Linked DNA regions of Mus musculus. The protein of the gene in region 1 interacts with the protein of each later gene in a pairwise test. Links are inferred from orthologs where the notes say so. Each region holds a gene or a part of one and is shown in the gene's direction. Other genes may lie near its edges. The genes, in order: Hnrnpf, Hnrnpm and Hnrnpul1.

Region 1 (4,326 bases):
TAATCTCTCACTTTATGCCTCAGGAGGCAGGGGCCGGTGGATCTCTGAATTGGAGCCATAGTGAGTTCCAGGACAGCCAGCTTTACAACAGAGATACCATGTCTTAGGGTGGGGGTGTGGGGAACCAAAAGAAACAATACAAAACAAAACAAGAGTTGGAAGCCAGCCTGGGTTGCAGTCAGACAGAGGGAGCTCAAAAGTGAAACCTCTGGCTGTAAAAATCTGGGAACTTCAATTTGACCCCTGGAACTCACCTAAGGGAAATGAAAATACTTGTGAAAAGTTGCTCTCTGGCTTCTTCAAGGTTAGAAGTCACTTGCACCTTTCTCTGGCAATAGTAAGGAACTTTAAAAATAAATAAAACCACCCAAGGAGCAGGGTGAGAGGTCTCAGCAGAACTTGCTGCACAGGCCTTTCAACCTTGAGTTTGATCAGGACCCCACATGGTGGAAGGAGAGAACACTCAGGATTGTCCTCTGACTTCAGTTGAAAGTGTGGTGATAACTCGCACGAACTTAACAATTTTAATGCCCCACTCCCTGGGCAAACAAACAAACAAACATCAGAGGTGGGGGATGTAATTTGCCAACTACAAGGCTCTGGGTTTAGTGCTCACGAATACTTATCTAACTTTTGTAGCATCTGTTTTCTATCATTTGACTTCTATTTTTCTTCTTGGACAGGTTTTCCTCTCAAAGTTTTCTTTCCTTTTTCTGGAGTTAGTCTGGTGTGTTGTTTTATAAACGTTTCCTTCATCACTGTAGTTCACTTATAACCAGAGATTATTCTGAACGGCCTTGTAATTTCTCCAGTGTTTATATAGACAGCAGCTCGCGACCATGCATTGTAGCCTCGGCCGCCTCCATGCAGAAATGGAGTTCGTAGGAACCAGCTCGTGTTCCTACGCCCGCCTAGGCGGCTCTGGAAGCTTCAAAAATAATCTTCACTTTAGCTTGTATCTCGACATCTCGCAGAGAATCCTCCCAAATTATTACACATCAAGAAAATCTGTCCCAGCGTTCACATAGTGCTGAGAGTTAGAAACTTCAGACAAATCCCTCCGGACTGCCTGAGATGCCCTTAGGCGGTCTTTCTTTTACATAAGACACCATTCTAGTTTTCCGCACGCATGCGGTCATTGATTCCTTTGGGATCACTTTTCGGGATGCGGAGACACGCGTGCAGAATTCAGCGTCCACCGACTCACCAGCCCACAGGTCTCTTTATGGACAACCCCCTCCACCTTGCTGTCTCCCCCCCCCCCCTCGTTTGCCCGCCCCCTCCCCCTGCTACCCCCCCCCCGCAATGTTTGCGCCTGCGCCGTCACTGTCCTCTCCGGGACTCAGAGGCGGGTCCACAGCTCTCTAGTCCCGCCCCTCTCCCTCCCCCGGCCAATCCTAGGCTCCGTTCTGGGCTCGTCAGAATGGCGCCGCGGCTGCCCTGTGCCCGGATGTCCGCTGCCTGAGGCTCCGCCCCATCACCGTCTTGCATCCTTCCGGCTCCGTCGTGGAAGGAGGACTGCGCCTCGTCTTCCTGAAGGTGGGGTTCGGGGAAGGCCAGCCCGCGGTCACGCCGGCTGTGGGAAGGGAAAGTGGGCTCCCCGGGCTACTGTTTCCGGGTGCTCGGGGCGTGGGCCGAGCGGGGAGCGGACCGGGGATCAGGAGGGCTTCCGGAGGCGCCGCTGGCGCTCGGCAGGCGGGAGTTGAGGAGCAGGCCGGCCGCGCGGTTGACTCGCCCCGCTGAGGCCGTCCCGCGAGCGCGCCTGTGGGGGTTTCCATGGTGACAGTAAACAAGCCTCAACTGCCTCAGCTACAACTGCCAAGTCCCCGGGGTTCCACCCTCCTCTAGGTGCTCTGAGGGCCGGCGAGGTCCGGATGTGAGTGGGAGCGTGGAGCCGAGAAGCCGGAGGTGAGGGCCGCCGGCGGGGTGTGCTGGCGCCTGGGCCCGGCGGGCGTTGGATGGCGGGCGTGGGATCCGGACTCGGAAGGAACGGGGCCGAGGTGGCCGCCGCACAGCCATAGCCGTGCGGAGGCTGCCCACGGAGCTGGGGACCGCGTGGCCGGGGTTTGGGGTCGGGAGCCGAAGTTCAGCGCATTTTCGACGGGGATTGGGCCGCGTGGCCGAGGTGTGCGGTCGGGGGAGCGGGGACTGAGGGCTGGAGTCCGGTCGGTAGGGCCGGGCCTCTGGGCTGAGGTGTGCGGAGGGCCTGGGAGACCGCAGCCGCGGCCCACGCCCGCCCGGAGAAAGCGCGGCTTTCCTCAGAGCCGCCCCCCCACCCCGCCCGCAGGCGCGGCTTCCTCGGCGGGATATTGGGGGGGGGGGTGAGGGTGGAGCGCTTCTCACCCACCGCGGCTTACGCTCTGTCAGCGGCCCCCCGGCAGGCCCGGGCGGTGGTTGTAGTTTGGAGAAAGACGAGCGGGCGCTCACGTGGCCCGAGGCGCCCGGAGTTTCACAAGACTGGGCGGGACGGCTCCGCCCACCGCCCACGCCCGGCCCGAGCGAAGCCGAGCGCCTCGCTTCCTCCTCGTGGCGGCCCGGGAGCTAGGAGCACCGGTCTGCGCCGGTCCCGTCCCCCAGAGGTATCGTGTTAGCGTGTGGGGTGCGGAGTCTTTGCCTAGGTGGGTTAGTCGGCCTTAGCCGCAGTTACGAGCACTTTTGTGCTGTGTTTGTGGAGCCTCACGTGTCTGGGAAAAGTTGAGGTGGGCCCGCTCGGCCTTCCCTCGGCGCGTGCTCTCCGGAGCCTTCCCGACCCGGCGGGATCGGAGAGGCAGCCCCATGTGCCCTAAGACTCCCACCCAGCGACCTTTTCTGCCCCTGCCAGTCCGGGAACAAACAAATGGGCCTCTTTCCTACCTGCAAGTCGGGCTGCGGAGTAAGCGGGCGAGCGAGCGCGGGTGGCCGCCATGTGGCTGTGCGGGATCGGTCTCCTGAACCTGGGCAGTTTTGTTTACGGAACTTTTGGGCTTATTTTAGTCGGTTTCCTTTAATGTTTATTTGTGCGTGGAGGTGAGGGGATAAGGTGAAGAAATGGATTTTTCCAGCACTGGGTCCTTGGGATTGAATTGAGGGTCCCTGTCACAATGATCTATCGCTCTGTCCAGGGGGTGGTTTAAATATTTAATTCTTCTAGTTGAACAAGACAGACGATATCTGGAAATAGTTAATACTTAAGTCTTTCTTCCCTTCGTGCTGCGGAGTGGAGGTCAAAACGTGGTTCAGTTCTTCCATCTGTGTATTCAGACTGAGCGCAGGTAGCTAAGGTCTGGCAAAAAGTGCGTTAGCCCATTGAACAATGTCGAAGTACTTTTGAGTACGCCGGGTGGCTATGCATGCTTTTGCGCTCAGCGCTCGGAGGTAGATCTCAGTTGAGAACAGTCTTACAGACCAAATCCTGACTTAAATTTTGAACTTTCTGCTTTTCTTATCTCCCTCGTGTTGCCATTAGTCTTACCAGCCTTTTTTTTTTTTTTTAAGTTACAAATCATTATGTAGCCACAGAGGATGACCTTGAATTCCAGATCACTCAGCTCCACCTCTAGATTGGAGTACTAACTCGACCACACCCCATTAGTAGTTACTGGGCATGGCAGGCTTTAGGCACGCTTTGTCAGCCCCATTCTGTCTGTATTATGCCCGTTTTTGTAGTAATTTTTAAAAAAGATTCATGGTTTGATTTGAAGGAAGGCCTGGGCACACTGGATCTAAAAGTAAATGCAAAAGTGATTACTTGTTTCTTGAGGTAGGGTCTAACTATTATATTACGCCTTGGCGCAAAATTACTGTATATTTAGATAAGGCTGGCTTCAAACTCAAGCAACACACCTACTTTTGCTTCCATAGTGCTGTGAATTGCTGGCATTAAAGGCATGTATCACGAAGCACAGCTAATACAAGGGGGTGTGTGTGTGTGTAACAGCTTTCTTTTGTTTTTCGAGACACGGTTTCTCTGTATAGCCCTGGCTGTGGCTGTCCTGGAACTCACTTTCTAGATCAGGCTGGCCTGGAAGTCAGAAATCCGCCCACCTCTGCCTCCCAATTGCTGGGATTAAAGGTGTACACTACCACGCCTGGCTGTATTTTGTACTTTTGAGATGTTTGGTTTTGTTTGGGGGGGGGGTTATTTTGTTCTTTTTGGATTTTCAAGACAGGGTTCTCTTTGTAGCCCTGGCTGTCCTGGAACTCTGAAATGTTTGTTTTATATGTGATTATATTTAAGACTTTAGTAAATGCCGAAATAAAACTACTGACCATTTGCTTACCAAAAAAATTTCAGTTCTCTGTGTAACCCACAAGTGAATGGTTGTGGGCAGATGATACCAGTAACAT
Region 2 (4,132 bases), on another chromosome or scaffold:
GCCGTAAGGAGAGATAGAATAGGAGGGAGGGAGGGGAAAGAAGGGGAAAAGAGGAGTCGGAAAAGGGTGGGAGGGAGGTTTCTGTTATACATCTCTTCTAATGCTTTGAATTACATGGAGAGTTTTAGTTTGATATTAACCTGTCAAGAATTCTGCATGCAGGGTTGGCTCTGTCTTAGTGGGTAAAGATGTTTGCTGCCAAGTTTGACAACCTAAATTTGATTACTGGAAAGAGAAAATCAATTCCCACATGCCAGCCATGGCATGCTCAAAGCCTGTATTCAATCATTCCCCCTCCATCCCCCCCCCAATAAAAATAATTCCTGCCAACATAATTTTTATATTTTTTCTCCATTTAAGGAAAGCTGATCTCTCCTTGACATGCCACGGACATTGTCAAAGCAGTTGTGGTTACTTGCACAAGATAGAACCTCATCATGTTGGGGTGGGGGAGCCTTGGGAGGCTTCACCCTTCCCTGAAGATCTATTGGTAGTAGATGCTGGAGGAAAGAGGTGTCATTTTCCTCAGTGTTGTAGCCACCTATTTAGTTGCCCCAATAAATCAACCCCTAATCTATGCTCTTGCAAGCAAACCCAACTCAGTAGGTCATAAAACAAAGACAAGGAGGTACATGGAGGAACTTGTTGGAAAGAAGGTACAGTGGAAATGCGGGAAATAAAAGGGCAATGGTAGGTGAATATGATAAAAGAACAGTATAGGGTCAGGGATTGAAGTTGATAGACTGCTAGCATGTTCAAATCACTGGGTTCAATTCCTAGCACTGATTAGCCTGGTTCCTCTGGCCTATCATTCTAGCACTCAAGAGGTGTAGGCGGCAGCTCAGACATTCAAGGCCAGTATTGGCTAGAAACTGTCTCAACAACAACAGCAAAACCCCAAGCAAGCGCAAAATACATGATATACATATATGAAGTTGCTGAAAAAAGAAAAAGAAAGAAAAGGCCAGGCGTGGTGGTGCTTGCCTTTATTTCCTGCACTTGGTAGGTAGGGAGAGGCTGGAGGGCTACATAGTGAGACCCTGCCTCAAAAAAGAAAGCTAATGAGTAAAACAAAACGGAAAAATATAAAGTAAGCTGGACCGACTAGGTCCGTATGTGCGCTCGTATTGTAAGTTCGAATGAGCGACACATATCTCTCCCCCTGTCCCACAACCCAACTGTATCTGCGGACATCGGGAAGTGAGGCCTGCCACTGGAGGAGGCGTGGCCTGACGTCCAGGGGGCGTGACCCGAGGCGAGCAGGAAGCGGGAGCCGGTCGCCGCACAAGGAGGCGTTACTGGTCGTTCGGGGTCACGTGAGCGCGCAGGCGCAGCTCGACAGAGCCCGCTCCCTCACACAAAGCCCAGACGCGGAGAAAATGGCGGCAGGGGTCGAAGCGGCAGCCGAAGTGGCGGCGACAGAACCCAAAATGGAGGAAGAGAGCGGCGCGCCCTGCGTGCCGAGCGGCAACGGAGCTCCGGGCCCGAAGGGGTGAGTAGTCTAACAGCAATTGATCCTTCTCTAACTCCAGCCAGGTTACTTCGCAGCTCCGTTAGGTCTGTGGGCCGCTTTCTCTTCTCCCACGGCGGCGCGGCGTCTGCGCAGGCCTTTTCCCTGCCGAGAGTTGGGGGCGGCCAAGGCTGTGACGACGACGAAGCCAGGAGAGCCTAATGGATCGCCCCCTGCCGACAGCGCTTGCCTCCGCTGCCTCAGCCTCCTGGCTGTCTGAGCGCGTCGTCGAGGCCTCAGGCCTGTGGCCTGGTATTTTATTCTCAGAGCAGTGATGGCGCGCGGGCTGCGGGAGATCAGGGCCCGCAGCACCTCTCACTGGGGTCTCGAGGGTTGAACCATTAAGACTGTGTAGTTTCAACCCTTCAGCATACAATCCATAGTAGTGGAAGTATTCTGTCTCAGTTTCTCAGATCTGAGAAGTTAGGGGCGGGAGGCTTGCGCGTGCGAGGTGTCACGTGTACGGTCGGCGGCGCGACCCGGAAGGTGTCGACATGACTCTTGTTGCGGGGTTCCGAGACACCGGTGTTACCCTCATTCTGCAAGAAGTGCTTCTTCCATTAGAATGGCCCCGGACCCGGGCTCCTGGGCTGGAGTTCTTTCCCCTCTTTATAGTCCTACTTCCTAAAGTGCAGTTGGTACCAATGGGAGAAATGGTCTTTGCTTGCTCAGTGTTCATCCTTAGCAACAGACCTAAAGTGTTCGGGTAGAGGCACCACTTCGGGGTTTCAGAAATTAAAATAGACAGACGTCATCATCCCTTTTTTGGAATCCTGCTTGGAGATCTGTCTAGGGACCTTGATTCGTTATTATAAGTGTCCTAGCATGGCCTGAGGAGTCCCAGCCTTTTGGGAGGAGTGGGAAGCTGCAGGATCCAGAGTGCAAAGTGTGGCCAGACTATATAGAGTGAGTTCAGTCTAGGTTGCCATTTAGTCATTGGGAAATTGAGCTAGACCCTAACTCTCAAAAAGAGGGATGAAAACATAGCAATAACCTGGCACTCCAAAGTCCCTAGATTCGATTCCTAATATCAGACCACAGGGTGGTCTTTCTGAGCCCTAAAAAGTTTTCTTCAAGGAGGAAACCATAAGATTCTGCTCCTGTGAAACTCTCCTCATACTGATATACTAATATATCAGCTTGAGGAGGTCTGGAGAAACATTTTGGTTCTAAAATCAGCAGCCCATGTCTCTGAATTTTTGTTTTCCATCAAATGTATAAGGTGGGAAGTTTTAGGACTCTGGGAGTTGAGAGTACTTAAAACACTTGTTAGTGAAGCATTTACCAAGTAATGGCTATTTTGTTACTGGAGGAAATTTCATATCTTTTATCTTAGTTAGGGAGAAGTAAAACACCATTGGTTAACTGGTTCTTGTGTGTTATTCAGCACTGGAGAGGCTGCGTGAGTTCCAGAGCTGATTCGGCTCAAGATTTGCCTAAGCTACATAAGTACTTGCCTGTCGTGTATGAGTGTGTAGATTATAGCCCATTAATAGAGTAGTTACTCAAGATGCACAAGGTCCTGGGGTTCACCCCATAGTACTAAAAGGATAAAGAGGCCTCTCTTTACTACCAGAAAGGCTCAGCTTAGGAGTGTGCTCATTTTTAACTTTCCCTTCCATCCTCTTGGGAACTCGGGGTCTTGAGGATGCTAGACAAGCACTCTTACCTCTGAGCTACACTTGAGCACCTTTAGTTAGTCTCATGTTCAGATTTTTCAGCTTTTGTCATAGAGATGCCTTGTAGGATCAGATTCCCTCTTCTAGTCTTTGTTGTTTTCAGTTTTTGAGTTAGATGCCTGGGCAAACTGTAGAGTCTACAGTGTAGACTGTGATGGCTTTGAATTCAGAACAACGCCTCTGCTTCTGTCACCTCCACCCAGTTGCTGGAATTACAGGTGTGTACTACCACGTCTGGTTCACTTTCTAGGATTTCAGAGGGCCTTATTTAAAAAGCTTTAAGGAAGTTAATTTCTGTCCAGAGTGGTAATGCATGCCTTTAATCACAGCACTTGGGAGGCAGAGGCAGGTGATTATCTGAGTTCAAGGCCAGCTTGGTCTACAGAGCCCAGGACAACCAGGGCTACACAAAGAAACCCTGTTGCAGGGGCAAAAAATTATTTCCTATATATAGAATGCAATGCCGCTAGAGCCTTTCTATATGAAAGATTGCATTTTTAATAGAACACGGTCCTATGGTACAGTTTTAAATTTCCACTGTCTGTATTCAGATAGATAACTTGTGGCTGAGTCATTTGACAGACAGAATGTGCATAGGAAGTATCAGATGAAATAGCCCTTGTGGGAAAGAACCTGAGTGGTCTCAGACTGGCTTAATGGAGGATACCTGAGAAAGTGGCAGCACTTAGTTTTGTAGTGTGGGTGAAAAATAATTGTTATTTTTGCATCACAAAGTTCTTGAAACAAACTCTTTTAAAAGCACAGAGTGTCTTTTTCTTCCCACCTTTTGACTAAGATTTGAACCCAGGTTTTCGTGCTTGTTAAGTATGCATGTATATTACCTAGTGAACCTTCTCACTAGCTTGCTTTTTTTTTTATTAAAAATATTATGAGAATGCATGTTTTGTCTGCGTATGTGTCTATGCACAACATGCATGTACAT
Region 3 (3,589 bases), on another chromosome or scaffold:
GTAAGTACACTGTAGCTGTCTTCAGACACTCCAGAAGAGGGAGTCAGATCTCGTTACGGATGGTTGTGAGCCACCATGTGGTTGCTGGGATTTGAACTCTGGACCTTCAGAAGAGCAGTCGGGTGCTCTTACCACTGAGCCATCTCACCAGCCCGGGAAAGGATTTCTAAACTACAGTGCCAGTAACAAATAGGATTAACAGAAAGCCCAGTTATTGGGAGCCAACCTCTTTGTGTTTCCTAAGTCTCTTCATTTGCTTAGATGGACATGAGTTCAAAAAGTGAAAAGGAGCTATTTCCTGAGTCTGTGCTGGGAGGATTCGTATTTTACCTTTCTGATGGTTTCCCTGCACAATGCCCTGCAAGAGAGATGGCTCTGAGTATCCAATCTCTGCCTCTTACCTACCTCAGACCAATGTTTATGGGTCAGCCCAGAGACGGAAAATGAGACCGTTTGAAGGCTTCCAGCGGAAAGCTATTGTAATCTGTCCAACTGATGAGGACCTCAAAGACCGCACAGTAAAGCGAACGGACGAAGAAGGGAAGGATGTCCCAGATCACGCAGTCTTAGAAATGAAAGGTAGGAAATGAGTGGTTGGGGGCCATTTTAACAGCATCTTCAAGACAAGGCCCTTCTCAGCTCCTTGTGATTCCTTTGTGGTCTGGTCTTTGTTTCTATTTTGTGTCTCCCGTTACCCACATGTGAGGGATCTGGCTTCCAGCTGGGGAAGGACTTTCAGGCTGGATGGGGATGGGTGTCATGAGAGAAAGAAAGTGTGTGTAGAGCCCAAGCTGAAAGACGTACACCATCTCCCACCTCTGGCCCCCAGCACTTGGGCAAGCCTCAGTTTGCTCCACCGTGGGAGGAGATGGGGTGTAGCTTCATTGCCTCTGAAGCACCTTGAGGTGAGGCTGGAGAGACCTGAATTGCTCTCTGGGGAAGAGTCTGTTAGCCCCTGCCGGTGTTTACACCAAGCAGTTGGGGTCCCATCTTAACCTCATTCCTTCAGCCTTCCTACTCTAGTGAACCAATAATTTGAGGTAAAGAGAACCAGACATCAGAAGGTGCTGACCTGCTCTCCTTTTCTACTTCCTCCCAGCCAACTTCACTTTGCCTGATGTCGGGGACTTCCTGGATGAGGTTCTGTTCATTGAGCTCCAGCGGGAGGAGGCAGACAAGCTGGTGAGGCAATACAACGAGGAAGGCCGGAAGGCCGGCCCGCCCCCTGAGAAGCGCTTTGACAGCAGAGGCGGAGGCTTCCGAGGCCGTGGGGGCGGCGGCGGTTTCCAGCGGTATGACAACCGAGGCCCTCCTGGAGGCAACCGAGGAGGCTTCCAGAACCGGGGAGGTGGTGGTGGCAGCGGTGGTGGAGGAGGCAACTACCGAGGAGGTGAGACATTTACCTTCTCCAGCCTTGTGTTTTGAGGCCAGGCTGTGGGAACCGGTTGATGGGAGTTACTACTCTGCAGCCTTGGGCCTTCCCACTGCCTGGTCTCCCAGCCGCACTGATGCCTTTGCCCATTTGCACATGGCAGTGCTCTCTTTGTTGGTCTTTCCCTATCTGACCGTACACTCTCTGAGGAATCTTGGGATCTATCTGTAGATCTCACAATGGCAAATATTAGAACTGCTTTTTGTTCAAAAACAAGTGAAGAAACAAGCTTAGAGCAATTAATTTGCCCATGATCACAGAGCTAAATTGAGCTGGGAGTCCAGTGAGCTAAAATCTAAATTCTTAATAAATGGTATGGTGTCTGAAGTAAAGTGTGATCATAAATTAACAAATGTGGGACCAGAGACCTCTCCCATCAGTTAAAAGCACTAGTTGCTCCTCCAGAGGGTTCAGGTTTGATTCTCAGCAGCCACACTGAGCTGCTTACAAGTGCCTATAACTCTAGCTCTACAGTATGCAATCCCTTCATACACATGCCAAATAAAAATATGTCTTTCAAACACATCTTTAAAACTGTGTATCAGACATGTTCTAGACCCTTCAGTGACCAAGGATGTTGTGACCTCATGACACCAAATTAACAACCTTCATGTAGATAAGCAACTCAGGAAGGGTCTCTGTGGAGCCTGCTTTTGGTTTGATGAGGGTACAGATTCAAGAAACAGTTGTACAATGGCTCAAGAGAGGCCACTTGGCCCAGCCTGTTGGACTATAATCTGACTAGCTTGCAGCTGTTTACTGCTGCTTAGCATTGTTCCTGAACACCTTTCTAATTTGTTGAACAGTTACATGGAGCTGAACACATCTAAGACATCTGTGCCTTGCCTGCTCACAGTCCACTGGAAGGCACAGACCTGTCTGCAGTGACTCTAGGTGTTGTGTCAGGGCAAGAACAAGGAAGTGTGCTGAGGGCCTGGGGGAGGCATGGATGCAGCACCTGCATTTGCTTGCTTTATTGACCTCAGTCTTGGTCACAGCCAGCCATGCTGAGTCCTCTTATGGATTTTCTAATGTAGGTTTCAACCGCAGCGGAGGTGGTGGCTACAACCAAAACCGCTGGGGTAATAACAACAGGGATAACAACAACTCCAACAACCGAGGCAACTATAACCGGGCTCCTCAGCAACAGCCACCACCACAACAGCCACCGCCACCACAACCACCACCACAACAACCACCACCACCACCTAGCTATAGCCCTGCTCGGAACCCTCCGGGAGCCAGCAGCTACAACAAAAACAGCAACATCCCTGGCTCCAGCGCCAATACCAGCACCCCTACAGTGAGCAGCTACACCCCTCCACAGGTGAGGCCATGTGTATGTTTGTACACGTATGCACTTGTGTTGAGAAGAGGAGGCAGGTCTGAGGTATGGCCACGGGTCTGCGGCTCTCTTCCCTCCAGCCTGTCCTTTTTTTTTCCCTTGCAGTTGCTGTTCAGCTGTGTCAAACATAGAAATGGCTAGATTCTCCCTCTTCCCCAAAGGTGGAGGTAGCTGCAAGCATTGGCTCCCATCAGCAAGATCATGTCTTTTAGGCTGTCACTGGCCTCATTGGGTCTATAAGAAAGCACTCCACTGAGTCACCTTTTGCCCATCATGGGAGGCCAGGGTCCAAAGGTAGATAAGTAAGGACCTTGTCCCTTAATAGCTCCAGACCCTGTTCCATTTCTTAGGAAGCCAGTGCCTGGGTTCTGGTGAACTGAAGCCATCTCTTTTATTTCACAGCTGTCTGAGTACCCATTACATGCCAGGGAGCAGCTGGGAACACTTGCCAGGAGCAGATGAGTGCTCCTAGATGCCACCCAGCCAGCACATTTCCTAGAATGAGAGTTTGGCAAGACTTAAGTTCAGCGCTAGCTCCAACAGAACCTGACTTTGACCTGGGACAGTCAGCTTGACCCTTCTGGTCCTTGTTTCCACATAAAGGACAGAAACATTACTAGGAATCACTTGTGAAGTTTCTGTGAGGTGATGGGGACTGTAGCTTAATGAAGCCTCTGGAACTGGGCAGACCTGGGTTAGTCATTCTAATAGTGTGACTTGGCCCAACAACCTCGCTTAGATTTTCTTTTTAGAGTTCATTATTTTTTAAATTTACTTTATGTGTGTGTGTTTATATGTGTTTGTATGTGCCC

Evidence for each region.
Region 2: the proteins of Hnrnpf (region 1) and Hnrnpm interact in binary tests that used the Homo sapiens proteins (3 or more experiments, as listed by UniProt). The two-hybrid records come from large-scale screens. The link is inferred for Mus musculus from reciprocal best matches to the Homo sapiens genes HNRNPF and HNRNPM.
Region 3: the proteins of Hnrnpf (region 1) and Hnrnpul1 interact in a two-hybrid assay, tested with the Homo sapiens proteins (3 studies listed by BioGRID and IntAct). The link is inferred for Mus musculus from reciprocal best matches to the Homo sapiens genes HNRNPF and HNRNPUL1.

Annotation. Positions count from the first base shown.
Region 1 is NC_000072.6:117,905,301-117,909,626, forward strand, and holds the start of Hnrnpf (heterogeneous nuclear ribonucleoprotein F), read left to right. Parts: upstream 1-1,481; 5' UTR 1,482-1,539; exon of another isoform or gene 1,540-1,809; coding exon of another isoform or gene 1,810-2,541; exon of another isoform or gene 2,542-2,618; intron 2,619-2,803; coding exon of another isoform or gene 2,804-2,905; intron 2,906-4,326. Other genes in the region: uncharacterized protein 4933440N22Rik, read right to left, coding at 1,810-2,541, 2,804-2,905.
Region 2 is NC_000083.6:33,682,627-33,686,758, reverse strand, and holds the start of Hnrnpm (heterogeneous nuclear ribonucleoprotein M), read left to right. Parts: upstream 1-1,300; 5' UTR 1,301-1,379; coding exon 1,380-1,492; intron 1,493-4,132. UniProt on the Homo sapiens protein: Pre-mRNA binding protein in vivo, binds avidly to poly(G) and poly(U) RNA homopolymers in vitro. Involved in splicing.
Region 3 is NC_000073.6:25,723,725-25,727,313, reverse strand, and holds part of Hnrnpul1 (heterogeneous nuclear ribonucleoprotein U-like protein 1), read left to right. Parts: intron 1-410; coding exon 411-579; intron 580-1,099; coding exon 1,100-1,390; intron 1,391-2,469; coding exon 2,470-2,759; intron 2,760-3,589.